4 linked regions of the Notamacropus eugenii genome follow. The protein of the gene in region 1 purifies or fractionates together with the protein of each later gene. This does not show direct contact. Links are inferred from orthologs where the notes say so. Each region holds a gene or a part of one and is shown on either strand. Other genes may lie near its edges. The genes, in order: MTMR2, SBF1, SBF2 and MTMR10.

Region 1 (7,767 bases):
AAATAAAATTTTATTGTTGTTCTTATTGTTTTTAACCCTAAATATAGGATGGGGGAAACATAAATAGGTAGCAGTTCTTTAGCAAACAAAAAAACAGATCTGAGTATTTTAGTGGACTGAAAGTTCAAAATATGTCAGTGGAATGACACAGTAGTCAAAAAAAAACCAAACCTAAGCTACTGTAATCTTAAAAAAAACCTTAAGCTACATTAAGAGAAGCATAGTACTCAGAACTAAAGAGGTAATTGTATCAGTGTGCTCTTGTCCTGATCAGTTTCATTTCTGGGCATCACATTTTAGTAAAAATACTGATGGGTCGGAAAAATGTCCAGAGAAGAGTAACTGCATTGAAAGGCCTCAGATAAAGCCACATGAAGACTGCTGAAGGGGCAAAGAATGTTTAGTATGATAAAAAATGATTTGAGAGACCTAATAGCTGTCTACAGGTAATCTAAAGGGTTTTCATATGGAGAAGAACAGTTTAGCCCACAGAGGCAGAACGAGGAGTAAACCTGCAATGAGGGAAATCTGAGTTTCATGAAAGGAAAATTTCCTGGCTAGAGCAGTACAAAAGTAGAATGGTCTGTCTTAGAAGGCAGTGAGTTCCCCCTGTGTAGAGGCTGTCAGACAAAGCTGGATAATCACTTGTTGGGACTTATTCAGTCACGGGATGACCTTGATGGCCTTCAAAGTTCCTTCTAAATCTGAAAGTTTTAGGATTTTATGTGATTGTATCCAGACAAAAGTTCTACTCATTTAAACACTGTCCAGAGTAGCAAAGGGTATCTACAGGTAGAGTCTTTTTTTTTTTGGAAAAAGTTTTACACCTCAAGTTTCCAGGTAGGTAAGCATCATAATTTTTTTTAAAAGAGTAAGCACATATGCACACATGACATTCAACTACAGATTGTTTTTAATTGCAGTTGTTCAAAAAAGTATACCTCAGAAGACAGGTTTAAAATCTAGCCATTAACACAAGCTGTGTGACGAAGTATGTGTCTCTGAATTTCTCTGAACATCAGTTTTCATATCTACAAGATGGGAATAGGATCAAAGATATAGATCTGGAAAGGAACTCAAAAGGCATCTAGTCCAACCTCTTCATTCTACAAATGAGTTTGATGTGAATAGAAAGATAACCCATACTAGTCAGAAAACTGAGATGAGGTGGATGAGGAAACTGAGGATACAGAAAAGCTTAGTGACTTGTCCAAGGTCAAATAGAGAGTAAGCATCAGAGAGTAAATTGTGAAGATCTAATAATATGTTATAAAGTGCTATATAAAGTAAACTATAATCTGTATGCAATTCTAAACCACAGTTTGGAATCTGTATTTTGCTTATACAGTTTTAACGTCTAAATCTGCTGTTGTATTTCTAAATAATTTTTAAACTTTTTTCTTAGTAATCATTAGCAATTTTTAAAGTTATTTTTAAACAAATACTTAACACTAATATTGAAAAAACAATCAAATTCAAAGAAAGCTAAGTTCTTACTCTCTTGCATAATTTCAGATTTAAGTACCAAAACGCATGAACTGCTTAATATGTGATACTTCTTCATTCTTTGGACTATTTTACATTAGCAAACAGAATGACAGAACACTAGACTTAGAATCAGGAAGACCTCAGTTCAAATCATGGCTCAGCTACTTATTAACTCTGGGCAAATCACTCGACCTCTCTGAGTCTCAGTTCCTCAGCAGTAAAATGAGAGTAGCTTTGAGCTCTAAAAATCTGATCCTAATTTATGATGTTTCTAATCCATTTGCAAATTCGATGTTCCCAAACCTTTTTAGGATTATATAACAAATGGACCACTTCAATTACTTTTTTTTCCCACTTAAAAAAAAACTATTTCAAGACATATGAGATTTCAATGACCCACAAGCTTCCCGCTATTATTCACAAAGAACTTTGCTGGGAAACCTGCGACTTAATAATCTAAGACTTTCTTCCATACTTCCAAAATGTTAAAAACAAACACAAAACCCCAACAATCCTATCAAGCACTCAGGCCATCAGAAAAACTGAAGAGATGGGAGCAGGGGGTAAGAAAAATGCCCTCTCATTTGGCCTACCTGATACATTCTCTAAGGGGGTTTCCTTTCTCCATTCACTCCCTCAGAGGTGAGGGCTGCCCAGGAATCCCAGAACCTAAACTTTGGTCTGGGGAGTTAGAAGAAAAAAAAAAGAGTAAGGGCGTTTCCATGACAACCCTTAACAGAAGCAGGGGGAAAGAGTTTCTTGAGAGAGCACGAGGAGGGAGAAGGGAGAGATGGGAAATAAGAGTGAAGGAAAGAGGAAAGGGATGGGAAAGGAGGCACGAAGGAAATTGGAAAGAGATGGGAAAGTAAAAATGAAGGAGGAAAGGGATGGGAAAGGAGGCATGAAGGAAGGAGGAAAAGAGTGAGAAAGGAGGAATGAAAGGAGGAAAAGGGTGGGAAAGAAGGAACGGAATCGCTTGTCAGATGTGTAAAGTGCCCAGGATGCCAACTGAGGGTCCCTGCCAGGGGGTGGGAGAGGATGAAGCAGCCCGGGACGGGGGAGGCGGGCAGAGCCCGGGACGCCCTGGTGGGGCTGGAGCCGGGCCCGCGGGAGCAGAAAGGCGGGCTCCGCGGGGCCGGGGCTCCGGGGGACCGGGGTTCAGCGGGGCTCAGCGGGGCCGGGGCTCGGCTCAGCGGGGCCGGGGCTCGGCTCAGCGGGGCCGGGGCTCAGCGGGGCCGGGGCTCGGCTCAGCGGGGCCGGGGCTCAGCGGGGCCGGGGCTCAGCGGGGCCGGGGCTCGCCCGCTTACCTGGACAGAGAGTCGACGCTGGGCGGCCGCGCTGCCGCGGGCTGGGAGCCCAGACTCTCGCAGCTGGAGCTCCTCTCCATGGCGCGGCCGTTCGAGAGCTAGGCTGGGCGGCGGCGGCAGCGGACAGGAGGAGCCGCGGTCAGCCCCGAGCCTCCCAGCCCCACCGCAGACAGGAAGCGGCCATGTTCGCCCAGACTGCACCGCGAGAGAGCTGGGGCTGCGGGAGGGGGCTCGCCCGGAGCTGGAGGAGCGCCCTCCCCCTGGTCCGCCCCCGGCTCCCTCCTCCTGAGGGGTTAGCGAGGCCAGACACCTTAGAGATGGAGATGGGGATGGGGCTTTCTGGGTGACACCGGGGAGGGGGAGGGGGAGAGGGACATAGGATGGGGCTGTGAGTCAGAGTGAGGGGAAAACGGGAGAAGGCATGACTGGGGTTGTAAAAAGGTCAGGGAGGTGTGGTTGGAAGTGAGTGGGGCAATGCTGATAAGTAAGGGACAAAGTAGGGCAGTGGCTGGCGGGCTGGGCCTGAAGTCAAGAAGATTCATCTTCCTGAATTTAAAGCTGGCCTCAGAGGCTTGCTAGCTAGCAAGGTGACCCTGGGCAAGTCACTTAACCCTGTTTGCCTCAGTTTCCTTATCTGTAAATTGAGCATGAGAAGGAAATGCAAACCACTCTGGTATCTGCCAAAAAAAAAATTCCAAATGGAGTTGCAGAGAGTCAAACACAACAGAACACACACAAGCGATAAAAGTGGGGTGCAGAAAAGAGAACAAGTACAAGTCATTCCCCAATTGATAAATGGTCAAAGGATATGAACAGGCAATTTTCAGAGGAAGAAATTAAAGATATCTATAATCATATGAAAAAATGCTCTAAATCACTTTTGATTAGAGAGATGCAAATCAAAACAACTCTGAGGTACCACATCACACCTATAAGATTGGCAAACATGACAGAACAAGAAAATGATAAATGCTGGAGAGGATATGGGAGAGTTGGAACACTAATTCATTGTTGGTGGAGCTGCGAGCGCATCCAACCATTCTGGAGAGCAATTTGGAACTATGCCCAAAGGGCTACAAAAATGTGCATCCCCTTTGACCCAGCAATAGCACTACTAGGACCGTATCCCCAAGAGATCATAAAAATGGGAAAGGGTCCCACATGTACAAAAATATTTATAGCAGCACTCTATGTAGTTGCCAAAAACTGGAAGTCAAGGGGATGTCCATCAATTGGGGAATGGCTGAATAAATTATGGTATATGAATGTAATGGAGTACTGTTGTGCCATAAGAAATGATGAACAAGAAGACTTCAGAGAGGCCTGGAAGGACTTATATGACCTGATGCTGAGTGAAAGGAGCAGAACCAGGAGAACTTTATGCACAGCAACGACCACAGTGTGTGAGAGTTTTTTCTGGTAGACTTAGATTTTTGTAATAACACAAGAACTTCTTACAAAAAAAAAAAAAATCCCAATGGTGGTTCTCAAGGCAAAATGCCTTCCACACTCAGAGAGAGAAATATGGAAGTCACTCACATAATGTAACAGATCATGTTTGTGTATGTGTAGTCACTCACATAATGTAACAGATCATGTTTGTGTATGTGTATGTGTTTGTGTATCATGTTCTGATTTGTTATACGATTTCTTTCATTTATCTTAGTCTGACTACATAGCATGACTATAGTGAAAATGTACTCAATAGGAAAGTATATGTAGAACCTATACAGAATTGTATGCAGTCGTGGGGAGGGAGGGGGGTAGTGGGGGGTAGGTGTGGGGGGGATAAAATCTCAATTGTATGGCAGTGATTGTTAAACATTAAAAAATAATAATAATAATAATAAAAAAATAAAAAAAAGAAAAGAGAACAAGGTTGAAGGTATCTCAGTGAGATGGTGTCCCTTCCAGCTCTAAATCTATGGTTCTGTGACTTGAGGAATATGGAAATAAAGGGAAATGGTGACATGGGAATGACTGAGACAAAAATGGCTTGTGAAAGTAAGCCAAGGCGAAGATCTGAGGATTAGAGATTTTTGGGTGAGGTGAGAAGGTTGAAGTTTAGGGTATTAGAATAATGGCAAGTAGAATGAGACAGAGGTGAATGATCAGTTCATATGCCCCAAATTCAAGGATATATGTGTCTGTGTGTGTATTTGTATGTATATATGTGTATATGTATGTGTGTATGTATGTATATGTGTGTATATATGTATATATATACATATATACACAGATATGCCCAGTGGATTTTTTTAGCTGCTAATATTGATTGTATGGGTGAGAGACACAGACTGGGTACTTTGGGAAAAAAATAGTATTAGAGAATATAGACAGCTAGGTGGCACAGTAAATAGTGATAGTCTTGGAGTCAGAAGGACCTAAGATTATATCTGGCCTCAAAATACTTTCCAGCTGTGTGACTCTCATTTAACTCTGCCTCAGTTCCTCATCTGTAAAAATAAGCTGGAGAAGGAAATGGCAGACCACTCCAGTATCTTTGCCAAGAAAACCCCAAATGGGAGCTTGGAAAGTTGTACTACACTGAAACCACTCAGCAACAATGGAAAATATGATAAAGTCTGCAGTCCCAATAACTTGGAGTGATTGGGTAGGAGTATAAGGTTGGTGTGGACTTGGTATTGTTGGTAATATAGAGTATGGAATGAATAGAAAAAGGAGAAAAATGGAAAAGAAACTGCAGGGAGAAAGTACCTAATACTTCAGGGCTGGTACCAGACCTCTTCCCTTTTCTTAGTTCCCTGCCCACAAAACAATATAAGAAAGGGACATAAATAATGCAAGAGGAAAATTAAATATGTCATGGGGGTGAGGCCTAGGTTAAGCTTAGGTTGACTATTCCTGATCCTTTCAATTTCCCCGGTGGAACAGGAAGGTGGAGTTGAAGAGAGAGCCAGACATTGATTGTGATGATAAGAGAGCAGAATTGGGCAAAGGGAGGATGCTGCTGCCAGTAATTTTTTGCTAACAGAGGACACAGGAAGATCAGAGGAAGGACACAATTGAGGCATTTTAAAATTGATAGTGAACAATTGCAGTTTCATCTCTTGGAATGTAGAGAGTGAGAAAAAGCTGTTATTGACTATTAGCAAATTATACAATGAACCTGTAAAAAAAAAAAGTACTTTGATGATAGGGAAAATTTTTTTCATCTCGATTTGTGAACCCAAATTTATTCTTCTATTGGGCAGCTGATTTTTTTTTATTTCCATAACTATGTAAAATCAACAGGAGACAAGAAGAAATTAACTGAACTGTCAACTACACACCCACAAGCCAAATGAAGGATAGCCCTGTTCACCATATACTTAACAGCTCGTGACTGAATGTGTTTGTGTTTAAACACAAAGGATTTTGCCTCTTCCACCCTGCAGTTTGCTGGTGACCAGTGATGGCCACTCAGTAGTACTGGTTACATCACTTCTATTTCCCTAGTTGGCAAAGAAAGCTTTACTGTTCTGTGATGGGTGGAGGAACCAGTTAGTCAGAACACTGTTTGACAAACAGCTACGATAACAGCTTTGGGAATATAGCTTATTATTTGTTTCCCTTTCCTGCCTTCCTCACCATCTCCCCCTCATCCTCCCCTTTTCTCCCCCTTCCTTGCTGGTTCATTGCCACCATGTTCTTTAATTCTATCTAGTTTCACAAGATCCTTTCTAGTACTGCACAATGGAAAGAATACTGGTTCTAAAGTCAGGAGACCCTGGGGTGAGTCACTTAATTTCTAGGTGTTCTAGGAAACTGAGACTATAAATTACAAAGAAATTGCTGACTTGCATAGGTAGAGGGAGTTTCCTCATGTACATATCAATGAAATCTCAGGTTCAGACCCTATTCCCTATCTTGGACAAGGTAATATAGAATGAAGACCAATAGTCCACCCTCAGGACAAAACTAAGTAACACTTAATATTATAAACCAATGCTCATCAATGCCTTTCCAATGGTATATTCTTGTATTGTGTCTCCTGCTCCCAAGAGACTATAAGATTGTTAAGCAGCTCAACATTTTCTGAGAGTACGTTTGAGTCAATATGTTGGGGGTGAAAACTGAATTCAGACTGAATTTCTTTTTGGTTTAGTGATTTCTATGTCTCATTCCTGGGAGAAAGCCAACTGACCATACCTTTATCTTCTCATACTTTAAGTAATTTCTAAACTTTCTCTTTTGTAAAACACACGCATACACACACACACACACACACACACAGAGTATTATTCTCTCTCAGTGGTTTTACGATCTTACATCCCAGGCCACTTTAGAATAGATGATCTAATTAGCAAACTACACAATTGCAATCTAGACTTCTCTTGCCCAAATTGTTAAGGTGTCAACTTTACAGCTTACTGCAAACCAAAAGATTTTCTTATGTAAATCTAGATCCATTATACTAGTTTGTTAAATGCTACCCATCACTAAAAGTTCTGAGTGAAAAAGTTAGAACCCAGAAGACAAGATTTCAAAATCTGGTTCTGCTGCTTATTGCCTGTGAACATGGGCAAGTCACTTAACTTTTCTGAAGCTCAGTTTCCTGATCTATTAAATGAGATGGCTGACCCAGATGACTCCTAAGGTTCTTTACAGCTGTAATCTATGACAATAAAAACAAATTTAGACTGCAAAAACATAGCAAAAGGGTAACAATCTCAGGTATGTGAACAAATGGAAGATGGGAAGAGGAAAGGAGGAGCAGACTGAATTGTCAGATATCCCTTCATTCTCTAAACAAGTTACCACAGGATAATTTGTAACCAGGAGTAATCCCCAGAGATCATTCATTTAGCAAATATTTACTAAGTAGATAACACTTTACTGGATCATTATCAATTTTTGTTGTTGTTGCACTTTAAGATACCAGCTTTCAATAAAATACTCCCTATGAATGTGACACTTTACCAGTTAGAGTATCTATAGTTTAAACCTTGTGTCTCAGTGAGTTTCTACT
Region 2 (7,825 bases), on another chromosome or scaffold:
CTCTTCCCTCCCCTCTCATGGAGAAGGCAAGCAATTTGATATAGATTACGCATGTGAAGTCATGCAAAACATATTTCTGTATTAGTCACGTTGTAAAAAACAAAAACAAAAAAATTCTCCCAAGAAAAACACCCATAAAAAATGAAGAAAGTTAAAAATATATGCTTCAATCTACACTCAGAGCCTTTTCTACACACAGGTCTTTTTCTGGAGGTAGATAATATTTTTCATCATGAATCTTTTGGAATTGTCTTGGATCACTGTGTTTCTGAGTATAGCTAAATCATTCACAGCTGATACATGTAAAACATTGCTGTTACTGTGTACAGTGTTCTCCTGGTTCTGTTCATTTCACCTTGCATCAGTTCATGTAAGTCTTTCCAGGTTTTTCTAAAAGCATCCTGCTCATCATTTCTTATTCCATTGCAATTTTACACCACAACTTGTTCAGACATTCGCCAATTGATGTATATCCCCTAAACTTCCAATTCTTTGCCACCACAAAAGAACTGCTATAAATATTTTTGTACATACAGGCCTAGTAGTGGTATTATGAGGTCAAAGGGTATGCATGGTTTTATAGACCTTTGGGCATAATTCCAAATTGCATTCCAGAATGGTTGGATCACTTCACAACTCTACCCACAGTGCATTAGTATGCCAGTTTTCCCATATCCCCTCCAACTTTTGTCAATTTCCTTTTTTTGGATCATATTAACCAATCTAATAGGTGCGAAACGGCCCTTCAGAGTTGTTTTAATTTGCATTTCTCTAATCAGCAATGATTTTAGAGCATTTTTATGTGATTGTAGATAGCTTTGATTTCTTAATCTGAAAATTACATTATATCCTTTGACCATTTATCAATTGGGAATGACTTATATTTTTATCAATTTGACTTGGTTCTCTATATATTTGAGAAACAAGGCCTTTATTAGAAAGACTTGCTGTACAAATTTTCCCCGTTTTCTTCTTTCCTTCTAATCTTGGCTTCATTGATTTTATTTCTGCAAAATTTTTTAAATTTAATGTCATCAAAATTATCCATTTTATTGCAGCTCTTTTTGTGGTGGCTAAGAACTGAGTATCAAAGGGATGCCCCTTAATTGGGGAATGGCTGAACAAGTTATGGTGTGTGATTATGATGCTGTAAGAAATGACAAGCAGGATGAGTTCAGAAAAACCTGGAAAAACATGAACTGATGTAAAGTGAAGGAAACAGAACCAGGACAAGGTTGTACACAGTAACAGCAATATTGTACAATGAAGAACTGTGAATTACTTCACTGACGATCCCAAAGGACTAGTGATAAAACAGACTGTCTTCCTGCAGAGAAAAAACTGATACTGTTTGAATACAGACTGAAGCAGGATTTTTCACTTTCTTTCATTCTTTTTCTTTTATTTGACTCTACTTGTACAAAATGACTAACATGGAAAGGTTTTATATGATTCCCCATGTATAATCTATATCTGATTGCTTACCATCTCAGGGTAGAAGGAAGGGAGGGAGGGAGATATAAAATTTGTGGTTCAAATTTTTTTTGAATGTTAAAAAAAAGTTTTAACATGTAATTGGGGAAAAATAAAATATATTCAAATATGTTTTCTAAAATCATCCATTTTAGCTCCTGTATTTCTCTCTACCACATAGTTCCTTTGTAATATCAGAAGACTGTGAAGAAGGCTAAGTGGAAGATGAACTGGAGTAGGGAGAGATTGTGAGATCCTGCAGAAGAGAGAAGGAGGGCTATTCAAGAGAAAGATTTTACTGTTCATTTAGTCATTTCACTTGTATCTCACTCTTTATGGTGTTGGAATTTTCTTGGCAAAGATCCTGGAGTGGTTTGCTCTTTCCTTCTCCAGCTCCTTTGACAGATAAGGAAACTGAGGCAAACAGGTTTAAGTGACTTGCTCAGGGTCATACAGCTATTTAGTGTCTGGGACTGGATTTGAACTCATGGAAAGGAGTCTTCCTGATCCTAGGCTCATTGCTCTATCCACTAAACCACTTAGTTGCTACTTTTTATACAGGCAGAATTGACAGGAGTTGGCAACAAGAGATAATGGAGGTAGAAACAATAAGATTCTATATAGGAGGTAAATGTGAGGGAAAAGTTGAGGATGTCCCCTAGGTTATGAGCCTGGGTGCCTAGGAGGGTGCTGGTGCCCTCAACAGTAATAGAGAAATTCAGAAAAGAGGGGTATTTTGGGGGTAAAGATGATGAATTCTGTTTTAAACATATTGAGTATGAGGTGTCTATGGGACATCCAATTCAACATGACCAACAAATAGGCAGTTGTCAACAGTACCTGAGGGAGTTTGGGGTTGGATAAATAGATCTGAGAATCATCTGTATAGAAATAATAATAATAATAGCTAACATTTATATAGCATCTACTGTGGGCAGGGCACTGTGCAAAGTACCTCACAATTATTCTCATTAGATTCTTACAACATCCCTGGAAGACAGGCAGTAGAATTAGTTAATTTATGTTTAGTTTTCAACATTCCCTTTTATAAGATTTTGAGCTCTAAAATTTCCCTCTCCTCCTCTCTCCTCCCCAAGACAGCATGCAGTCTGATATAGCTTGTACATGTACAATCATATTAAACATAGTTCCATGTTAGTCATGTTATGAAAGAAGAATCAGAACAAAAGGGGAAAACCACAAGAAAGAAAACAAAGAAAATAGTCGGCTTTGATCTGCATTCAGACTCCATAGTTTTTCCTCTAGATGTGGCTAGATTTTTTCATCACGAATCTTTTGGAATTGTCTTAGATCATTCCATTGCTGAGAAGAGCTAAGTCTATCAAAGTTGATCACACAATGTTGTTATCACTGTGTAGTGTTCTCCTGGTTCTGCTCACTTCACTCAGTATCAGCTCATATAAGTCTTTCCAGGTTTTTCTGAAATCCACCTGCTCATCATTTCTTATAGCACAATAGCATTCCAGCACATTCATATAACACAATTTGTTCAGCCATTCCCTAATTGGTGGGCATCCCCATCAATTTTTTGCCACAACAAAAAGAGTTGTTATAGATATTTTTGTACTTTGGGTCCTTTCCCCTTTTTTATCATCTCTTTGGGATACAGCCCTGGAAGTGGTATTGCTGGATCAAAGGGTATGCACAGTTTCATAGACCTTTGGGCGTAGGTCCAAATTGCTCTCCAGAATGGTTGGATGAGTAGGTGATAGTATTATCCCTATTTTACCAGTGAGGAAACTGAGGCAAACAGAAGTTAAGTGATTTGCTCAGAGTCACATAGCTAGAAGTATCTTAGGCCAGATTGAAACTCAGGTCTTCCTGACTCCTAAATCCATGGGAGTGGATGAGATTAATAGTATCTGTCTATAAAATTCATACAGTTGGCCTAATTCAGTGGGTTCTCCTTCCACATCTCTGACAGAGTGTGGGCATTAAGCAGTCTTCGTCCACTCAATTTTTCCTGTATGGATTGCTAGGTTTCTTCTGAGAGGCCATTGATCTCACTGAGGAGTCTTTGTAGCATTTTGGGGATCCATGAAATCAAGTTACTGTGCTGCCTAGAAAGTAAGATAGGAGTTGGAAGTTACTGCTTCATGTTTAAGTCTGTGTTGGTGAGCTCTTGCTTTTAATGATTGATGCGTTTCCTTTGTGTGGGAGAAACAAACATTCAAACAATCAAAATCATTCAATTAACTATGTTGAAAATGTTTATTTCTTATTTAATGCTCAATGATTGACTTGGAAAGCTCTTTCTTCCTTCCCTTGACCTTTTGGATCTAGCCCTAGCCTCCTCCATTCTTTTGCCCTTGTTTACCCTCCCAGAGAAGGAGAGCCCTCTTCCTCCTCAGATCACCTCCCCATTCCTAATCTGGGGACTCCCAATATCTGCCCTGCCCCATCTTAGGACATAAGCACCTGGAGGGTAGGACCTGTTGCATCAGTCCGGAGACCAGCCCAGTACCTTCCCTACAGTAACTGGCTACTAAAATGAGTGAATTAGAGAGGTGGTGGGTGTTGTGGAGCTAGAGGCTCAGCCGTACTGCTACCCGGTGACCTTGGAGCGGCAGTTTCAGCAGATTTGGGGGGAAGGGGCTGTTGCCAATTCCAGGTTCGGGAGAAGCGCTGGGATCTCAGAAAAGAGGCAGGAGGCTGAGCCCGGGGAGGGACAATAGTTTGGGAGGTTTGCGGGGGGCCCGAGCCCAAGGGGTGCGGTGCTATACAAGATGGTGGGGGGCGGAACCGATGGTTGGGGAGGGTGGTGGCCTGAACTGAGGAGCGGTCCGAGCAAAGGTTGGGGAGTCTGAGGCTGGACGGGGGGAGTCCAAGGCGAGCGGGTCCTAAGACTAGGAAGATGTGGGGGTCCCGGGCCTGAGATTTGGGGTGCTGCAGGGTTCTGGGGGGGTAACAAAGGTGAGGCAGGCCACCTGAGCCAAGAGGGGTAGAGCGGGCTGCGGTGGGATGGCGGCCCAAGTCCAGGGACAGCGAGGGCCTGACACGGTGCCCTCGCCCCAGCCCGAGGACAGGCAGAGGAGGATGTGGGCGGGGTAACCTCGCACAGCAGGGGCGTGGCCGTCCTTCGTTGGCCACACCCCCACGACAGCGGCCGCCCAGGTTCTCTGGCCACGCCCCCTCAGGTCCCAGTGGCTCCCGGCCCGCTGCGGAGGAGAGCGGGGCGGGCTGCGGGCGCGCCCCCGGAGGGGCACGCCGACGCAGCCGCGGGCGCGCGCGCGCACGCCGGGAGGGAGGGACCGGGGGAAGATGGCGGCGGGAGCCGCTGGAGCCTCATCCTCCGCCGGGGCCGGGGAGCGCGGTCGGGGCCGGGGCCGGGGCCGGGGCCGAGGCCGGGGCCGAGGGGCCGGGCCCGGGCCGTGAGCGCGCAGCCGCCTCGCCCGTCCGCCCGCTGCCCGCCCGCCATGGCCCGGCTCGCCGACTACTTCGTGCTGGTGGCCTTCGGGCCCGGGCCGCGCGCCGGTGAGTTGGGGGCCGCGGGGGGGAGGGGGGCACTGAGGGGGAGGGGGCGGGGCCTTCAGTGCCCTGCCAGAGATGTCACTGCCCCCGAACCACCTACACAGGCCACCCCGCACCCCCAAACCATCTGCACAGACCACTTTGCACCCCAGAACCAGCTGCCCTCCCTCTATCAGCTGCAGAGGTCACCTGCACCCCAAAACCAGTAGCACAGGCCACTTGACTTCCCAAAATCAGCTGTCCTCCCCCTCTCAGCTGCTGAGATCACCCTGCACCCTCAAACCAGCTGCCCTATTGCACTCAGCTGCAGAGGCCACCCTGCACCCCAAAACCAGCCACACAAGCCAACTGGCACCCCAAGACCAGCTGCCCCCCACTTAGCTTCAGGTGATCTGCACCCCAAAACCAGCTGCCCTATCGCACTCAGCTGCAGAGGTTACCCTGCACCCCAAAACCAGCTGCCCTATCCCACTCAGCTGCAGAGATCACCCTGCACCCCAAGACAAGCTACCCTGCCCCCCTCAGCTGCAGAGGTTGCCCTGTACCCTAAAACCTGCTACCTTACCCCCTCAGCTGCAGATATCACTCTGCACCCCAAACCAGTTGCCCTGCCCCTGTCAGCTCCAGAGATCATCCTGTACCCCCAAACCAGCTGTCCTATCCCTCTCAACTAAAGATGTCACCCTGCACCCCTAAACCAGCTGTTCTGTCCCGTCACTTACTAGTGGCTCCTCTGTTCCCCTAGCTGTAGGTGTTACATCCCTGCACCCCCAAACTAGCAGCCAGTGGTGTTTCTGGGGTGGTCACTTGGGACCTTTGGTTCGTGCACTTGCTGGGTCAGGTACCACAAAACATTTCCTGGGGCCTGCTCTGTGCCAAGGGCTGGGGCGAAGGCTGGCATCTGGAAAGGGCCTCTACCAGTGTGGTCTATGCACAATCAGACTGTGGGTCAGGCAGCATTTGAACTCAGAGCCCTCTGTGCTCAGGCCTGGTGCCCAAGGAAGAGAAGAGGCTCTCATTCTGGAGGGGGGAGGGGCTGCATCCACACAGATAAATAAATACAAGATATGTTAACCAGTATATACTAGGTAATTCCTGGGGGTGGAGGAAGGCACTAGCAGCTGGGCCTTGAAGGGAACTTGGTAGGAAGTAGGGATGCCAGGGCCTGAGCGGGATGTTCTGGGTGGTGTCCAGCTCTGGATGGCATCCTCCAGGCAGGTGTGATTTTCGGAAGAGGAGGTACAGTTAGCCAGGGTGAGGTGGTGAGGGCCACCTGCCCCCAGGGCACTGGGAGAAGCCAGATGGACCATCCCCTACATGTCCCCTGTGTCATGGTTTTCCCTTACCAGTTGGGTAACTTTGAGGGAATGCCTTTCCTTCCCCTGGCCCCCAGTTCATGTCCCCACCTGTGGGGCAGTAATGGTTGTGCTGCTGCCTGCTAATTTCTTAGACATGGTGTGAGGATCATGGTAGGACAGGACCAGAGGACAGGGCTGGGTATGTAGACACCAGGCCTCACACACAGAAGGCCCTTGGAACATTCCCTGTTTGGCACTGATTTGTAAGGGCCGTAAGAAGTCAGAGAAGGAAGACATATGTGAGTTGGAGCATCCTGGGAAGTTTTCCCAGAGAAAGTGGGTTTTGACTTCAGTCTTGAAAAATGGATAGAAATTGGAGCTGGGGAGGAGACAGCATTAGCCAGAGCATGCAAGGAAAGCTGGGGTCCTTGGAACCCTGAGGGCTGGGGAGGAGGCCCAGGAACGCAAGGACCAAAGGTCGCTCTGACAGTATGTGTGTGGAAGAGGGCTTTCCACTTGGAAAAGAAGCTGCTTGTGACATGGGGCCATGCATGATTTGCTGCACCACTGACCTGGGAGAGGCACAGAGGAGACATGGTTTGAATCTGGGGCAGTGGGTGCCATCCCACTGGGGGCAGGTCCATGGCCAGCCTGAGGAGGGGGCTCCACGTGGAGAGTGGCCATGCCCAGGCCGGGTATCCCCCTTGGTGTGGATGCTCAGCCTTCTTCCTTAGGCTCCGCCCTGAAGGGCCCAGACCTTCCCCCTGCTTCCTACCCTATCCTAGGGGACCTACCCTAGGGAGTGAACTCAACCAAATGATCGATGCTGGATTCTCCCAGGAGGCGTGTTTTGCCAGCATAGGAGAAGGGCCAGGTTGGATGGAGGGGGTGGATACCAGAACTGTAGGAAATGCCTGCTGATTTCTGCTACCAGACCCTTGTGGACCTTGGCTGGTGGTAGTGGGAAGAGCTGCACAAAACCATCCTCACTCTGGGATTAGCAGACTCAGCCATCAAGTTAGAGGTTAGTGTGTGCCCACAAGACTGCATTCTTCATCTCTAGGGCTTAACCACTGAGGTAGCCAGCCCACGTGCACTGGTAGATAACAAAAGAAGATGAGACCCAACCATCTGCCTCCCAAGAGGCTCTTTGAGGGCAGAGACCAACCTCTTCACGGCTTTGGGTCCCTGGGGCCCTGCACGAACGAGGGTGAGGAGTAGCAGAGACTTAACCTGTTGCTTAGGCAGAAGCAGAGGCACTGGGTAGGCCTGGCTCAGGATGTCTGCCCCTGGGGCCTGGGCCATGTGAGCAGGTGCTGTGGCTTGGGCCTAGGGAGGTGGGGGTGCTTTGCACATCACTGTACCCCCCCTTCTGTTTTTCCTTGTATGGATAAGTATTGCATCCTTTGTTGTCCTGAAGTAACTCCCAGTGTGACTGAGTCCCTTTTTAGGGAGAGAGAGCTATCTTCTACCAGGAACTCCTCCCTGCTTTGAGTCTGGCACAGTTGGGGTCTCACTGGGCTGTCTGCCAGCTCCCTTCCCCTCCCCCCAAGGCCAGGGTA
Region 3 (7,410 bases), on another chromosome or scaffold:
TAAAATCCTACAAATTCTCTTTAATGAGCAATAGGTCACTAATAAACTAAGCCAGGCACCATTTGCTTTGGATGAAATTCAAAGAAACTATGAAAAAAATTACTCTTACAATAAAAATGATTGGACAACCAAAAAAAAAAATTTGAGTAAATATAATGTACTGGTGTAAATGAACATTCAGGAACTATATATCTTCCTAAAAACATAGCTTATCATTAAAAATGACATAAATTCATTTCTTAGCTTTCAAATACTTGATAAACATTTTTAGAGAACAAAAAATCAAGGCTGATTCAAAGTCATGAAGGTCAATTTTGATGCTTTCTCTCTATATAAGATACCAATTTCTTTATATGAAATTGAATAAATCCATTAGTAGAGTAGGACAAATATTTTAAAGCAATCAAAATTCAAAATATTGTCAAAAGTACAATGCAAAACTTTAATAAAAACTATAGTGGTTTTTACACTCAAGAAACTCATGAGAAACAAAAGAGATAGTATATATAACCCTTAAATTACATGACATAAAATTCATACTAACAGTGTATTCTAATTGATAAAACTATTCAACAATGAAACAACATCTGCCATTTAGGAGAGATCCTGATTCCCCTTTTCTTCCAGGGGAGGAGGACTTTTAACTGCCACAAAAGAAACACAGCCAATCTGCATAAAGTACTGCTATACTTGATTCTCTCTAAGGTACCAAAGAAGTTTAAAAGGGCCTACTTGAACCTTAAAAGGGGAAACCTGAGTTTCATTTAAAGAGAGAGGGATACATCTTACTCAAGTTCCAATATTTTGAAAAGTTAATTAAAAGGGAAGTATATTTAATTACAAAGTAACTTTATAGATAAGAATACAGTGGATTTGTAGTTTAGAGTATAGTTGACAATTCTAGGAAAATCTAAGTCATCAATGACAAAAAAAATCTTTATGTATCAGAGTCTCTTGCCATAATCATTAAAAGAAGCCTTTAAATTGTGGTTAGCAATTATAAACAATTTAGGCAATAAAGTCTTGGGGAAGGGGGACGTCTTTAAAATTAAAGTTTATTCATTAAAAGATCCATAATTTCCTAATAATTTAACAAACAGGACTGTATTTTCATCGCAAGAAAGTGTATTTTTAATCCTTCTAAAATAACATTACTGAAATTGAAAGTATTATTGGAAAAGTAATGTCAAATACAGACAACTAATTAATCAACAATGGGGGGAGTATTTCGTTCGATGTCAAGATTCCATACTATTCAACTAATATGAACTTGAATTAAAGTTGTTGAAAGAGAACACAATGTGGCTAAAAGAAATTAATACCACTTTATTATCACTGAAGAACTTTCATACTCAAACTGTATCAAGCTGACAGTGCCTGGCACACAGTAGTTGCTTCATAAATGCTTTTTTCCTTCCCCTTCTCCCCAGGTGCAAACTAGGTTGGCCCTTCTTTTTAAAGAAGAGGGAACATTCTTATAAAAGGTCAGGATAACAAGGAGTGATGAAAGATTACTATTGCTGTTAATAATAACTAACATTTCTAGGGCCCATTGAAGGTCTGCAAAGTGCTTGGTGCATGGTACGGTCCTCACAACCTTGTGAGGTATGTGTTACTATTATCCTCATTTTATAAATGTAAAAAAAAAGAGAGAGACATTAAATGACTTGACCTGGGTCACACAGGTGGTAAAGTACACAAGGGAGGTTTGGACTCAGGTCTTCCAGCTTCCAAATCCAACTCCCTAGCCATAAAGCCAAGGAAGTCATGGGAAAGCTCCCACAAGGAAACTACACTAAGGGGCAACAACTCAATGGGAAAAGTACACGCTGAGATATCCCTTCTAACCTAAGGAGGGTGGCCAAACTCTTTTCGGCTTGGTTTCTTCATCTGTAAAAGGAGGGAAGAGGGAAGCAGATGATCTTTAAGCTTCTTTTCTAATACTTATCATGCTAAAGTAGAAGAGCTTTCGGTGTTCCACTTGCTACTGCTATACTTTTATGGTACTTATACTTTTTATGCTATGCTTTCATGGACATAAATGAACAAAGATGGACGAGAGAACTGCCACAAAATTCCTCAATTGTATAAACATGAGAAAAACGAATTTTTAAAAATCACTGGGCTCCATGTTTAGGAAAGTATTCTTACCAAGAACCAAAAAGTCTGGTATTTTCCCAAATGAGGAGAACAAAGAAAACGTTTTAAAGTAACATTTAGTTACTTAGTAACATTCAGTTGTTTCACCTGGGAAACCTCTTACCCTCGTCCTGAAAGAAGCGGACAGGGCCGTGCCCAGGGAAGCTCCCTAGCCGGGCTGGGCAACACCCCATCCCGCGGTCCCCACAAGCGGTTACACGGGCCCCCAGGGCGGGAGAGGAGGCTGCGCCAAGGACCCGTCCGAACTCCCAGGGGCCAAGGCCGCCCGTCCAGTCCCGTCTATTCTCCCTCCCTCGGGACTCTCCCTCCGGGCCCGCCCCCCTCCCTCCACTGTCTCCCAGTCCCCTCGCAGGAGCAGGGAAGCACCGCCCCGCCCCCCGCCCCAGCCTCGTTCGGGGCTGGGACCCGGCCTGGCCTAAGCCCCGTTTTCCATCCTTCCTTCCATCCCTCCCGGCAGGGCGGGGCAGGCTGGGCCCTCCTCTCCCTCGCTGGTCAGCGCAGCCCCGGGCCCAGTCGGCCCGTCCTGCGCCCCGGCCCGTTTGGGAAGGGCCCGACGCGGGGCGGCGACGGGGAGCCCCCGGCCCGGCCCGGGCCTGCGGGGCCGTTGGGCCCGGGGCGGGGGCGGGGGCGGGGGCGGCGGCCGAGGGGAGGAGGCGAGGAGGGAGGGGCCGGGGGCGGTGCCCGCCCGCCCCGCGCCGGCCCCACGCCCTTACCTGTCTTCTCGTGGTCATAGCCCACCACGATGAAGTAGTCCGCCAGCCGCGCCATCGCCGCCGCCGTCCCCGCGCCCGGGAAGCGGGACCCAGTCCCCGTCGCCGCCCTCGCCGCCGCCGCCGCCCGCTCGGCCCGGGAGCGCTCAGCATTTTCCCTCTACCGGCGGTAGCAGCAGCGGCGGCAGCGGCGGCACTTCAGCCATGTTTGACAACCGAGGTGCGCTCTGCGCCTGCGCCGGGCGCCGCGCCGCGCGAGACTCGCTCCTCCTCCCGGCTCCTCCCTCCCCTCGGCTTCCCAGAGCTTCCCTGGAGCTACGCAGCCTCGGCCCGGGCCGCCCCACCCCTCCCCCCGCCGTCGGCGCTCCTCCCCCTCCCCCTCCCCCTCCCCCTCCCGCGCCCGCCTCGCTCCTCCCCCTCCCGCGCCCGCCTCGCTCCTCCCCCTCCCGCGCCCGGGCTGGGAGCAGCTGGGGTTCGCACAGGCCTCTCCTTCCCTCGGCCCATTTGTGGAGCGGGGACCCTAGCGGGCTGGGGGGCGGCTACCGAAAACTCCGCGGCCAGTGCCCTGGAATCCGCCCCGCCGGGGCTTTTGCCGCTGGTTTCCTGTTTACGCGGCGCGGTCCCGTTTTCCGAGATCTCGCAGCGGGCTGCCAGGAAGGCCCCGCGGGCTGCCGTAGCCCCCCGGCCGTGCCAGGGCGCGGGACAGCACCAGGGTGCCCTCCTGCTTCGGGGGGGGGGGGGGCGAATGCAGGCCACCCCGGACGGACAGCTCGCCCTGCCCTGAACGCTCGGTCACCCGTCCGTGGCCTCTGCTCTCGGGCCACGTTAATGTCTTGGGCACTCCCATGAGATCCCAGCGCCCCAGGACAAGAGGCCGGGGCCGGACAGTCTGAGGTCCCGGACTTCGCCCTTCCCCTTGTCCACGGCCGGCAGCCTTTGGGATGTCACTGCAGTGGTCCGGCCGCGCCTGGCCGAGGGCAGGGTACGACTTGATCTGAGTTATTCCTGAGTCGGTGAAAGCCTTTCCTTAAAGCCTTCCTCTCGGACTTGGAAGGGACTTGAAGCGGACTTGCCCTGCACGCAAGAGTCCCCTGCGAGCGCGGAGCTGCTCATCCACGCTGCGCTGCGGTTCTGGTTCTAGGACGGCTCTCTCGGTTCTCCCTCATTCCACGCAGGGAGCTGGACTCCGCCACCACCCCGCCTCCGTCCCAGGAACTTCCACCCCAGCTTCTGCTTCGGTCACTCGATGCTTGCAGAGCGTGTCTGCTTCGTTCTCCACATAAGAAATATTGGAAGAAAGGGATATCCTCCGAATTAGAAGTACAGGGCAGAAGCTTGTCGGATGAAGTTTCCCGACAATTAAAGCTGTCCAGAAGCGGAACGACCGCCTTAGGACAGAGCGGGTTCCCTTGGAGTAGAGCTCTCCAAGCAGAAGCTACATAGCCACTTACTGGCTGAGTGTGTATGCTGTGGACGGTTTTTTATTTAATATGTGGATTGGACTAGACCTCTGGTGTGTTCCAAATCTTAACATTCCGTGATGTCCTTGCTAAGTCTCTCCTAAGACTTAACTGCTTTGTAAAAGACACTGTTAAGAATGTATCATGTAACTTAATTATTTCTGACTCCTGTGCTTATGAATTCAAAAGTATCAAAAAAGCAACTCTCCCCCAGTTAAGATCCTCTGACAAGCCCTCTATGTCAGTTTCCAGAATCTGGTTTCAACATGTGGAATATATGCATAATATACACCCATGTATCCAAGATGGCACATTCCTAGTCCATACAAGTATTTCACATACAAATAAAGTAGCTTTGCCCTTTGCTCCCTAGCCAACAGCTGCCTGGAGGCTGAGGTTGATAAGCGTCTGACAACATAGCCAGATTAGCAGGGTTGGCCATAGGCCAGAAAATCCCCCGAGATCAACAAAAACACCACCACCTTTCACTAGCTGCCTGAACAAATGTAGATTTGTTTTCCCCTGAGCCTCGGGAAGAAACTCCAGGGCCAAGCAAAGGATGAAAGAGGCAACAGTCTCCAGGATCCAAAGCATCTCCTTCCTTGTCTCAGGGCGGAAATGGCAAAGAGATAAAGAAAGAAGGGAGGTTTGCCAACTTCCCGCTGCTGCAGAACTGCTGCCTTTTGTGGGTAAAGTGGCTAGGTCTCTAAAATCATTCAAAGTACTTCCTGTGGTTTGTCTCTACTCAACAAATTAGTGAGCTGAGGTTTACTCTGCACAAGGTACTGGGCTGAGACCTGCTTATTGCAAAGTCACTGCAATCCTGCCTTGGTTAGCCTCACCTCTAAGTCATCAGATTTATGTAATAATAATATTTACATGGGGCTTCCTATGTGCCTGGCACTGTACTAAATACTTTACAATTAATACTCCATTGGATCTTCACAGCAACGCTGGGAAGTAGGTGCTAAAAGCTTTACAAATATTACCTCATCTGATCCTCACAATCATCCTGGGAGGTTGGAGCTGTTATCATCCGAATTTGGCAGATGAGGAAACTGAGACAAACAGGTTAAGTGACTTGACCAGGGTCATACGGCTACTGTCTGAGACTAGGTATGAACTCAGGTTTTCCTAATTTCAGGCCTGACGCTCTATCTACTGTGCCTCCTAGCTGCTATATACATATACACCTATATAGAACTTATAGAAAACATTCAGGCACATAAAAGTCCCACTGGGTCAAATTAATAAATCATTCAGCCCGGTGTGATATCCCTGAGAGCCTATTTAGTGGAATTGTACGGCCTTATGGAAACTGTTCTCCCTAACCTCATCCTAAGAGGAGGAGATGCACACCCCAATCGCTTTCCCTCCTTTCGATAAGCTAATTTGGCTATATCATCCACTGGATCAACTCCTATACTCTAACTCCATGTGCACTTTGTTTACCCTGTTTGGGTAAAGAGTTTCATATGTTCATGTTGACTGCCTGTTGTGTCAAGAATGACCATGCTTGTACTTGTCCTAAAAAACTACAATGTCTCCTTTAATCTTTCAGGGTAGCTCCTTATCTAGTTTAATTATGAACAAGTCTCTGTAATCCTATATGTCAGAGGCAAATAAGACAAATTGTGCCTGGATTAAGAGACTTGAGATCTCCATTTGCTTTGGGCAGGACTTTCAGAGAACCACCCTAGCCGTTGAACTGATGGGGTGAATCAGACTTTGGAAGTGAGCTTCTCAGTGGGTTTTGAGGAAGGGGTTTGGAACTAGGAGCTATAAAGTGGAATTTGTTTTGTTCTTCACCCTGAGGTTCTGGTGTGTGCATTTTTATCCCTTGAAGAGCCAGGCCAGGAAAAACAGGATTCAACTAGTGCTTCTGCCACTTCTGCTGGCATGCCTTTAGGGAAGTCGCTTAAACTCTCCATGTTCTAGATTACTCTAAAACTATAAATTGCAGGCAGGTGCTGACTTGTTCTGGTCTCTGTCCACTATCCTATCCTTGACCATATTGTCAGTTTTTAAATGTCTATCAGAGCTTTCTATGGAACCCTTTGAATACACTACCTTTCAAACAACCTTCTAAAAGTTAAGTATAAATCCTACCCAGGTCACAGAGCAAGTTAAAAGGGGAGCCAAGAGCCATCAAATGCTTCTTTTTCAAAGAAGCAAATGTTCTATTCTCTGCTTTTCATACACATAGTTCAAACAGTGAATTATTTAGCCTAATTTTCTTTGCAGGGTGTGTTCACGATATTTAATTGGGAACCAGTTTAAGGAAGTGACCAAGAATATTTTTATAATCCAGAGAGGCCTGGAGAAAATGTAGGCAGTGTCATAAACAGCTGGTCAGCCCTTCACCTACTCTCCATTTAACAGCAGACAGAGGCAAAAGTGCTGGCCAGATTGCTTTTTTTTTCCCTGTGTATCTAACTGAGAACAGAGAGAAAAGGGATAGTTCCAAGAATGAGAATAGTTCCCACCAGCAGCCTCAAGACCTCATATGGCCTTCTAGGTCTTCAGATGTGGCCCTTTGGCAGTCAAAGGGGCGAACTCGAGGATCTAGAGAACCAAATGGGACCTCGAGCCAAAGGTTAACCTGAAAGCATTCAGGGTTCCTTTAAAAGTTTCACAGGTAGTATGTGTATACATATGTGTGTGTGATTATATGTGTGCCTACATATTGAGAGAGATATGGATGAATAGAGATGATATAGCTTAGATGCAGATGTCAGTATAGATATGGATAGGTTTAGATATGCATGTGGCAGCCTGGTATAGTGATAGAGAGCCTGCCTCTCACATATATCTGGGTTCAAATAATGTTGCTGATACACACTGTGGTCCCACAATTCATGGGCAAGTGACTTCATCTCTTAATGTCCTCGAGTAACTCTAATTCCAAAGGTTACAGACCTAAGGAGGTTCTAATCTGCCCTTAAGGTAGGGCCTTTCCATACCTACTGTTTTTGAAATGCTTGAAATAACAGGTTTAAGCTAATACTTATTTTTAGCTCCCCTAGATCCTTTCTTCCCTCTTCTTAGTGGGGGGTGGGTGGGAAGAATTAAATGCACAT
Region 4 (7,596 bases), on another chromosome or scaffold:
AACACACACATATCTGCTACACTGGCAAACTAGATATTTGTAGCATTTTTAAAAATAGCCTGTACTTTTTAATTTAGCATATTATATGTAGTGTTTCTCTTTCAAAATCTTTATAATTGTCTTAAATCAGCGATTTGTTTGTCCAGTTTATTTCACTGAGAAAAGGTAAATTCAAAATTATCAGAAATGAAGAAAGTAGAACTGTTAAAAATCTTAACAAATTGTATATATGAGACCCTTTGAAATATAAAAATAATGGAAACTAGAAAGCCTTTGTAATGAATAAACTATCTTAAATGAATGAGAACTCAATTCCTAAAATAAGGAAAAGATATTTATATTTGAGATCATAAACTCTTATACATTGTAATCTAGCTAGGTATACCTCTCCATAAAGAGGTTTTATAATTTGGACTTTGGGTAAAGTATCTTCATTTTTCTTTGCCTCATTAAAGGGGTCACCTCTTGGCTACTTCTTAAACAGGCCTATTCAATGAATGGGCATTACCTCACCCTAAATGAGTACCTGAACAGACCTTGGCTTAAAGGGGCCAAGGTCTCCCAGTTCATCCTGGGTCATCTCCAGTCATCCTGATGAATATCTGGTCACTGGATTCAGATGGCTCTGGAGGAGAAGTGAGGCTGGTGACCTGCAAAGCCCTCCCTCACTCAAAACAAAGTCAAGTGCAAGTCATGTCATCATTTCTCTGATGGCATGGTCTTCTTTGTCAACGAAGGATGAACACAACAATAGGATAGCTTTAATGTATTTCAACTAATTTTGTGATTAAATAAATTTTGCTGCTCTTCACATAAAAAACATTTTTATAGTATACTTCAACACTACATAAATCACAGATCCCATCAATGTGGTTACTCCCTGGAAGAGTGCCGATTAAGATACATTTTGTTATATATCATTGCAAAGGAACCTTGTTCAACAAAACTGGATTTTTTTTTTAAATTCTAAAAGGTCTGGCTGCTAATCTCAGAGATCACTTACTTAACAGTTAGTTAAAGCATATGAAGATAGTGTATATAACTGATGGGAGTTGGCAGCTGCCAGTCACAGAGGAAATTGGTCAAGTCCTTATAACCAGTTCCCCATGAAGCAACCAGATGCCTAGATCAACCAACCATAAATAGCCATTCACTCTTCTCTAGAAAAATATTTATGCCAGGCAAGGAAAGAATGATGACTTCATTTATATTCCTAACTGCAGAGTTAGAAATGAAAACTCTAATGTAATTTGTATTGCACATTTAAATTCAACGAATTGGTAGGGATATACACAAGTTTAATTCCTTAAGTAGCTTGTCAGAGCTAATATGACTTATTAAGAACCCAATTTTACAATCTGGGAACACATCAGAAACCCTTCCACTTATGTTGTAACCATTGCATCTACTCTGATCTGATCAGTCTAAAGCAGGGGTTCTTAACCCATAGTCCGTGAATTTGTTTTGAAAATATTTTGCTAACTGTATCTCAATATAATTATTTTCATCTGTAATCCTATGTATTTAATTTTATGCACAGAAAAACATAAATTCAGGAAGGGGTCCATAGACTTCATCAGATTACCAAAGGGGTGCATGACACAAAAAATGTTATGAAGCCCACCAAGTAAACAATACGTAGGAGTATTTACATAGGTATTCCTTACTTACAAAAAAAAATCTCACCTTCAAAGATTAGTTTATTACATTATATCTTTCCAAGATGCATCAAAATTCTAGCACAATGCTTTCTGTTCAGGTTATTTGCTTATTGTTTATTGAACTGAATTAGCTACAATGCTTAAGTACACTTTGTAAGGTTACAGGAAATAATACTAACTTTGAGTTCATTTTATAGTCTTTATTAATTCATAATTTAGTGTCTCACACTGCCTTTCCTTCCTATTTTCATTCTATTTCTCAGTTCCTACCTTTGGACATTGTTGGCAATGACTTGTATTTGCAATTAGGTCCAGTTTCTAAGAGTTATTGGAGTATTCTTCTTTACAAACTTAGCATGCTCATAATATAACACAAATTTAAAACATCAATATAAGATTCACAACCAAGGTTAGTGGAAACGCTGTACACTTCTATAATAAAAACCATACTTTCCCACCACCTCCTCAAGTGCCTCATTATACTCTAGTTATCTTTTCCCCTAGGCCTCTCAAGAATTTTTACTGAGAAAACATTTGGCAGACATCTGGATAGGTTACCAGTTCCAGAACTAGTCTGGACTGCAACCTGGGTGAGAGGTCAAATGCAGATAGAGATTTGGGAATCATCAGTACGAAAGTGCTAGCTAAATCCATGAGAAAAACGGTTTGAGAGACAGAAAAAGCAGACATCCAAAGTCTGACTTTTGGGGGATGCACATATTTAGGAGGAAAAAGAAAAAGGAGTAGCAAAGGAAATGGGCAATAAGATGAGAATCTGAACCAAAGTATCATGGAATTCAACCATCGTTTACTTATTAAGCACCTCTAAAGTACATCTTGTTATGCAAGAGGCAGCTTGGCATAAGGAATAGAGGGTGCAGGGTCAGGACGACCTTGGTTCCAGGCCTACCCTTGCCACACACTGACTGTGAGCTTGAGCAGGAAACTTTAAAAAAGGAGGGCATTCCAGGCATTTTATTCCAGACAATTTAATTCAAAAATTGGGAAATGTAGGATTGCAAAGACAAATAAATACCCGTGCTCTCAAGTAGCTTACAATCTCCTGGAAGCTGGGAAAGGGAGCTTTCAGACCCACAGACTGGTCAGGGAGAACGAGAACTAACACCAAACAAGTCAGATTTATTGGACTGGACAGTGTCTCACATAATGTAGATAAAGCCCTGGACAATTCAGCGTTTCACTTTTGTGTCCCACAGAGCTATAACCCCCAAAAGATCCAAAGCCTGCAAGAGTGAAAGCACATTTCCTTTGGCATACTGGCAGAATATCTACTTAGATGTGTGGGGGAAATGCCACCGGGTTTTAAATGCTGCAGGCCCTGGTGCCACGCTGACTGACCTTACCTAGGCCGTCCTGGGACAGAACCCCTGGAAGAAGTCCTGCGGAGCCCCACGCTGGGCGACCCTGGACAAGCCACCTCACCCTACCTGCCTCAGTTTCTCTGATCGAGGCAGCCCGTCTTCAAAGGGCTTCGTCACAGCTTCAGCAGAACGAGATCAACGCTTTCATAAAGCGGAGGTCTGATTCAAGCTACGTCGGTTCTAGAGAAAGAGGAGCTCTGGGGCTGCGGGCGCTTCTCAGCGTCGCTGCTGCCGACTGTTTGTGGGCTTGGGGATGCCAACCCAGAGCGCACTGTAACACCGTGCAGGGGGACTGTTACTGAGACACAAAGGTCTTCGGAAGACCCTGCCACAGAACCCCAAGGCTCCGGTCATTTGTTAGCATAAACCACACAATTCCGTGGCCGGGAAGCACTTCGGAGGCTCCCCGTCTAACCCTGTTTGCGAGAGAACAGTGAAGACCCGAGCCCGTCCCGTGCAGAGCCTAGGCGCACAGTAAAGCTCCTCCTGCGGGCAAAGCGCACCCCCCCAGGCGCGGCCTGGCCCCGGGCTCCCCCGTGCCCGCGGAGGGCGCTCCCCAAAGCGCACCCCCCAGGCGCGGCCTGGCCCCGGGCTCCCCCGTGCCCGCGGAGGGCGCTCCCCAAAGCGGACCCCCCAGATGCGGCCTGGCCCCGGGCTCCCCCGTGCCCGCGGAGGGCGCTCCCCAAAGAGGACCCCCCAGGCGCGGCCTGGCCCCGGGCTCCCCCGCCCCTGCCTCGCCGGTCCGGTTCAGGGGTCTCTCCACGAGATCACTAATGGCCAGGTTGCGGGGTTCCCCGTGACTTCCCTGAGGGCTTTCTCCCCGGCCCTCGGCGCCTACACCCCTCGGGGCGCAATAAACGCTTCGTTCATTTACAAACGCTTGCTGACCGGGTGAGCAACCAAGGGTCCGAAGGACTGTGTCCTTCAACCCGGGAAGGCCAGTTAGGGGTCGGGGGCGGCGAGGAGGAGCCCTCCGGGGTACCAGCCCTCCGGGGCACTTTCTGGGGCGGCTGTGGCCCCACCAGGGGATCCGGGGCTTCGGATCCTCTCTGGAAATAACGAATCCCTTAAGTCTGATGACTAACAGGCAAACGCGGAGGCCGGCGGGGACGGCGGCCGGAGGGGACGGAGGCCGGCGGGGACGGAGGCCCGCGGCGCTCCCTCCCGGGCAGCTGGGGCCGTTTGGCCCCTGTGTGCCGCCGTAGCGGCCCGCTCGGCTCTCGTCGCCCAACATGGCCGCCGTCCTCCGCGCCCCCAGGGGGTGCCCGGCCGCCCCGCGTAGGACCTTTCGCGGCGGGGCAGATGCCTGCTCCGAGCGGCGGTGCGCGCGCACGCGGGCGCTTCCCCCCCCACCCCCCCGACACCTCCACCTTCACCTCCGCTCCCTAGGCCTCCCGCGGGGTGGGGCGGGGGCGGGGGCGGGGGCGGGGGCGGAGGCGGGGAGGTCCCTTCCGGGGGCTGGGAACTCGAGGGGCCGCGTCACGCCGGGCTCGGCCCCCGCGGCTCCTCCTCCCCGCTCCGGGCGCTCCAGTCTCCGCCCGCCCAGTGGGGGGTGGGTGGGGGGGGTGGCCGCAGACCCAGACGGCCTGGGCGACTCCTCCGGGAAACTCCGTGGCCGTGGCTGGGGAAGGAAGGCGGCCCTGCCTGCGCCGCTGCCCCCCGCCCCTCGCCGGGGTGGGTGAGCCCCGCCGCCCCTGCTGAGGAAAGGTGGGAAGGAAGGAAGCAGCCGTGGGGGGCACCATGTTCTCCAAGCCGCCCCGACCCACCTTCAGGTCCTACCTCCTGCCGCCGGCGTCGCCGCCTCAGGTAAACAGCCTCCCCTCCCCCCGCCGCCGACCGGATCCTCGTGGGGCCATGACGGAGGGGGGGCGTAGAGGGGCCGAGGAGGGGGCGCCCCTCCCCCCACCTCCGAGTGTTGGGCTCGCGTGGGGCTGGGGGGCGGGGAGAGGGTCGGGACTTCTCCTTCCACTCCGGTGGTTGGGGCTTCGCGTCTCCCAGGTGGGGAGGAAGCAGCCCACGAGAACCGTACCCCACCGGTCCCGTGCCCCACTCGCGGAGCCGCCCCACGAGCAGGCTCCCCACTCAGGTTCGAGTCTCCAACCCCTAAACCACCGAGGGAGCCCGGATCGGCACCAGTCTCTCCCCGTACCCCCCAGGCCGGTCCCGGGGAAACTTTTAAAACTCCTCTGGCCCTGGAAGCAGCTCCTGGCCCGAGTCCGCGGCGCCGCTCCCCCGTTCGCTCCGAGCCGCGGGGCGCCCCCTGGCGGGGCCCTCCCGATGCCCTGCTGCTGCCGCTGGAGGGCCAAGGTGGTGCAGCAGAGGGTAAATAGTAACCCCAACCCTGGGCCGTGTGTAGGGGGGGTCCCCGTCCGATGCCGCACCCTCGTTAACGTTGTGGGGGGGTGGAAGCTGAGGGAGCCCCCCGAGCGAGCGGCAGCGGTGTGGACCGCCGGTCCCAGCAGCGCCCGAGCCGAGCGGGCTGGGGACGCGCTCTGGGTCACGCGTGTCTGAGGCTTCCCCGGTGCGTTTCAGGATGAAGACCAGCGGAGCCCCGAGCCCAGGATCAGGAAGCTGGAGGCCGCGCTTCTGCCAGGTGAGCACGGGCGCGCCGCCCCCGGGCCTCGTCAGTGTGCCGGCCGGGCAGCCGCGGGGGAGGGCGGGCTGGCCACCCAGGTAAGGGCGCGGGCTCCGGACCGGCCCAAGCCGTGGCTACACCCGGGAATGCCCGCGGAGGAGAGTTTAACGATCGCTGTGGGAGGACGTCGGTGGCGCTTGTGTCTGTCCGAGCTTTCCGGCGCGGGGGTCGGCGCCGTGGGCCGCGTCTCCTCCGCGGGAGGGGCCCGCCGGGGCGCTGGGGCGTGCTGGCTTGGGCTGGCACAGGTGGTGAGGGGGTCCGGGGCTTCTGGCTCGCTTCGCAGTGAGCTTGCCCCTGGGATCGTTGGGTTCTCCATGAAGTGTGGAGAGAAGGACCTGGGGCTGTCCAGTAGACGTGCGGGGAGAATAGCCACATCTCCGGGACGCTGGGGGGGCTGATGTGACGGAGATGCGGGGTATCGTGTGCGGGGTTTGGGGCTACGTGACAGTGATTGTACACGGTTCATTTCAGCAGACATTAAGCACCGACTGTATGCAGGGCACTCTACTAAATCTGAAGTATTTCTGCTGAAACGTACAAGAGTGGTAGAGTTCATTGAATGAGTACGTGGACTGTAAATTTTGTTTTAAAATAAGATATAGTATATAAAAACACATTAGCCAATACCAGTTCTCAAGTGTTGTGTTAACTGCTTACAAAAATGAAACTTGAATACGTAGCTACAAATATTTCTTTTTTGGTCGTGTTTTTCTTTTTTTTCAGAATAAACTTGTTAAGAAAACTGTGATACACATGCATGCTCTAATTAACACATTCGTAGCCACTTTGGAGACTTTTTGTATATTGTTTTTAAATATGAAGCAGTGCTACTTTTAAATGTGTGCCTATTAGCTATTTAAAATTTAGATTCTGTCCAAACAAGTTAAAGGTTCCAAATTTCTATTCTTATAGATAATTTTCATGATTTGTCAAATCATTAATAGGGATTACACATTTACTTATTTTCTTAAAATGCTTTTCATTTAAGCTATGATAACCAGAACCTTTTTTCCCTCAATATAAAGAATAGTAAATACTGACAAAAAATTTGAATTATTCATTGAGTGGCCATTGCCTCGTCTTAAAAAATAATATAAATTATTTTTAACATCAAAAATATTCCAGTCATTCTGTTTACCTTACAAATAATTAGATTTTTACACTTAAAAGATTAAAAATTTAATATATATTTTTGCTTTAACTTTCTGAAAAATACTTCATTTACCATAGTTATTCAGCAAACACTTAGCGACTGTCTACTATGTTCAAGGCAGTTTAGATTATACAGAGATGAATAAAAAACCAAGATTCGTGCCCAAGGCAAGTCTCTTTATGTTTTTCATTTTTCCCTCTTGGCTCTCCACCCTCAATTTTCATCAATAAGACTTCAGGGCCACCTAAAGAGCAAGACTGTTAGACTTTTTCTAGAATATATTGAACAATATGCTACTGTTAGAAACTGACCCTGGCTTTTCATGAATCCAGAAACCAAGAAAAAACTCAGTCATGTCACCTGTGACTTCAGATAAGTTTGTAAACAAAAAGTAATTGTCAAAAGATAAGAATCATAATATTTAGTGTTAAAAGGCATCAAGTGCCTACTATCATAGTACTATGCTGGGTGCTGGAGTTTAAATTAGATCAGATGAAAACAATTCTCTTTTAGAAGGTTATCTCCAAAGTGGAAATGGATACGCAGATAAGTACAGAGTATCTGGACATTATATTCAAAGGAATTTCCTTGGAGGCGGGGGAGCATTCAAGCTGAAAGGATAAAGAAAGGCTTTATACAAAGGGGACAGTTGAGCTGAACTGTGGATGGAACTAGGGATAGGAGGTGAATTTTCATTTTACAGGTGAGAAAACCAGTGCTCAGGAAGGTGAAGTCATACAGCTATGAAATGATACTGCCTAAAAT

The links.
Region 2: the proteins of MTMR2 (region 1) and SBF1 purify together in Homo sapiens (affinity purification with mass spectrometry; 6 studies listed by BioGRID and IntAct, with this or other methods). This does not show direct contact. The link is inferred for Notamacropus eugenii from reciprocal best matches to the Homo sapiens genes MTMR2 and SBF1.
Region 3: the proteins of MTMR2 (region 1) and SBF2 purify together in Homo sapiens (affinity purification with mass spectrometry; 3 studies listed by BioGRID and IntAct, with this or other methods). This does not show direct contact. The link is inferred for Notamacropus eugenii from reciprocal best matches to the Homo sapiens genes MTMR2 and SBF2.
Region 4: the proteins of MTMR2 (region 1) and MTMR10 purify together in Homo sapiens (affinity purification with mass spectrometry; 5 studies listed by BioGRID and IntAct, with this or other methods). This does not show direct contact. The link is inferred for Notamacropus eugenii from reciprocal best matches to the Homo sapiens genes MTMR2 and MTMR10.

The regions. Positions count from the first base shown.
Region 1 is NC_092876.1:162,162,400-162,170,166, reverse strand, and holds the start of MTMR2 (phosphatidylinositol-3,5-bisphosphate 3-phosphatase MTMR2), read right to left. Parts: upstream 3,017-7,767; 5' UTR 2,876-3,016; coding exon 2,796-2,875; intron 2,170-2,795; exon of another isoform or gene 2,117-2,169; coding exon of another isoform or gene 2,082-2,116; intron 1-2,081. UniProt on the Homo sapiens protein: Lipid phosphatase that specifically dephosphorylates the D-3 position of phosphatidylinositol 3-phosphate and phosphatidylinositol 3,5-bisphosphate, generating phosphatidylinositol and phosphatidylinositol 5-phosphate.
Region 2 is NC_092874.1:303,833,681-303,841,505, forward strand, and holds the start of SBF1 (myotubularin-related protein 5), read left to right. Parts: upstream 1-4,822; 5' UTR 4,823-4,910; coding exon 4,911-4,968; intron 4,969-7,825. UniProt on the Homo sapiens protein: Acts as an adapter for the phosphatase MTMR2 to regulate MTMR2 catalytic activity and subcellular location. Promotes the exchange of GDP to GTP, converting inactive GDP-bound Rab proteins into their active GTP-bound form.
Region 3 is NC_092877.1:35,162,769-35,170,178, reverse strand, and holds the start of SBF2 (myotubularin-related protein 13), read right to left. Parts: upstream 3,001-7,410; 5' UTR 2,929-3,000; coding exon 2,874-2,928; intron 1-2,873. UniProt on the Homo sapiens protein: Guanine nucleotide exchange factor (GEF) which activates RAB21 and possibly RAB28. Promotes the exchange of GDP to GTP, converting inactive GDP-bound Rab proteins into their active GTP-bound form.
Region 4 is NC_092872.1:150,817,561-150,825,156, forward strand, and holds the start of MTMR10 (myotubularin-related protein 10), read left to right. Parts: upstream 1-4,587; 5' UTR 4,588-4,783; coding exon 4,784-4,849; intron 4,850-5,575; coding exon 5,576-5,636; intron 5,637-7,596.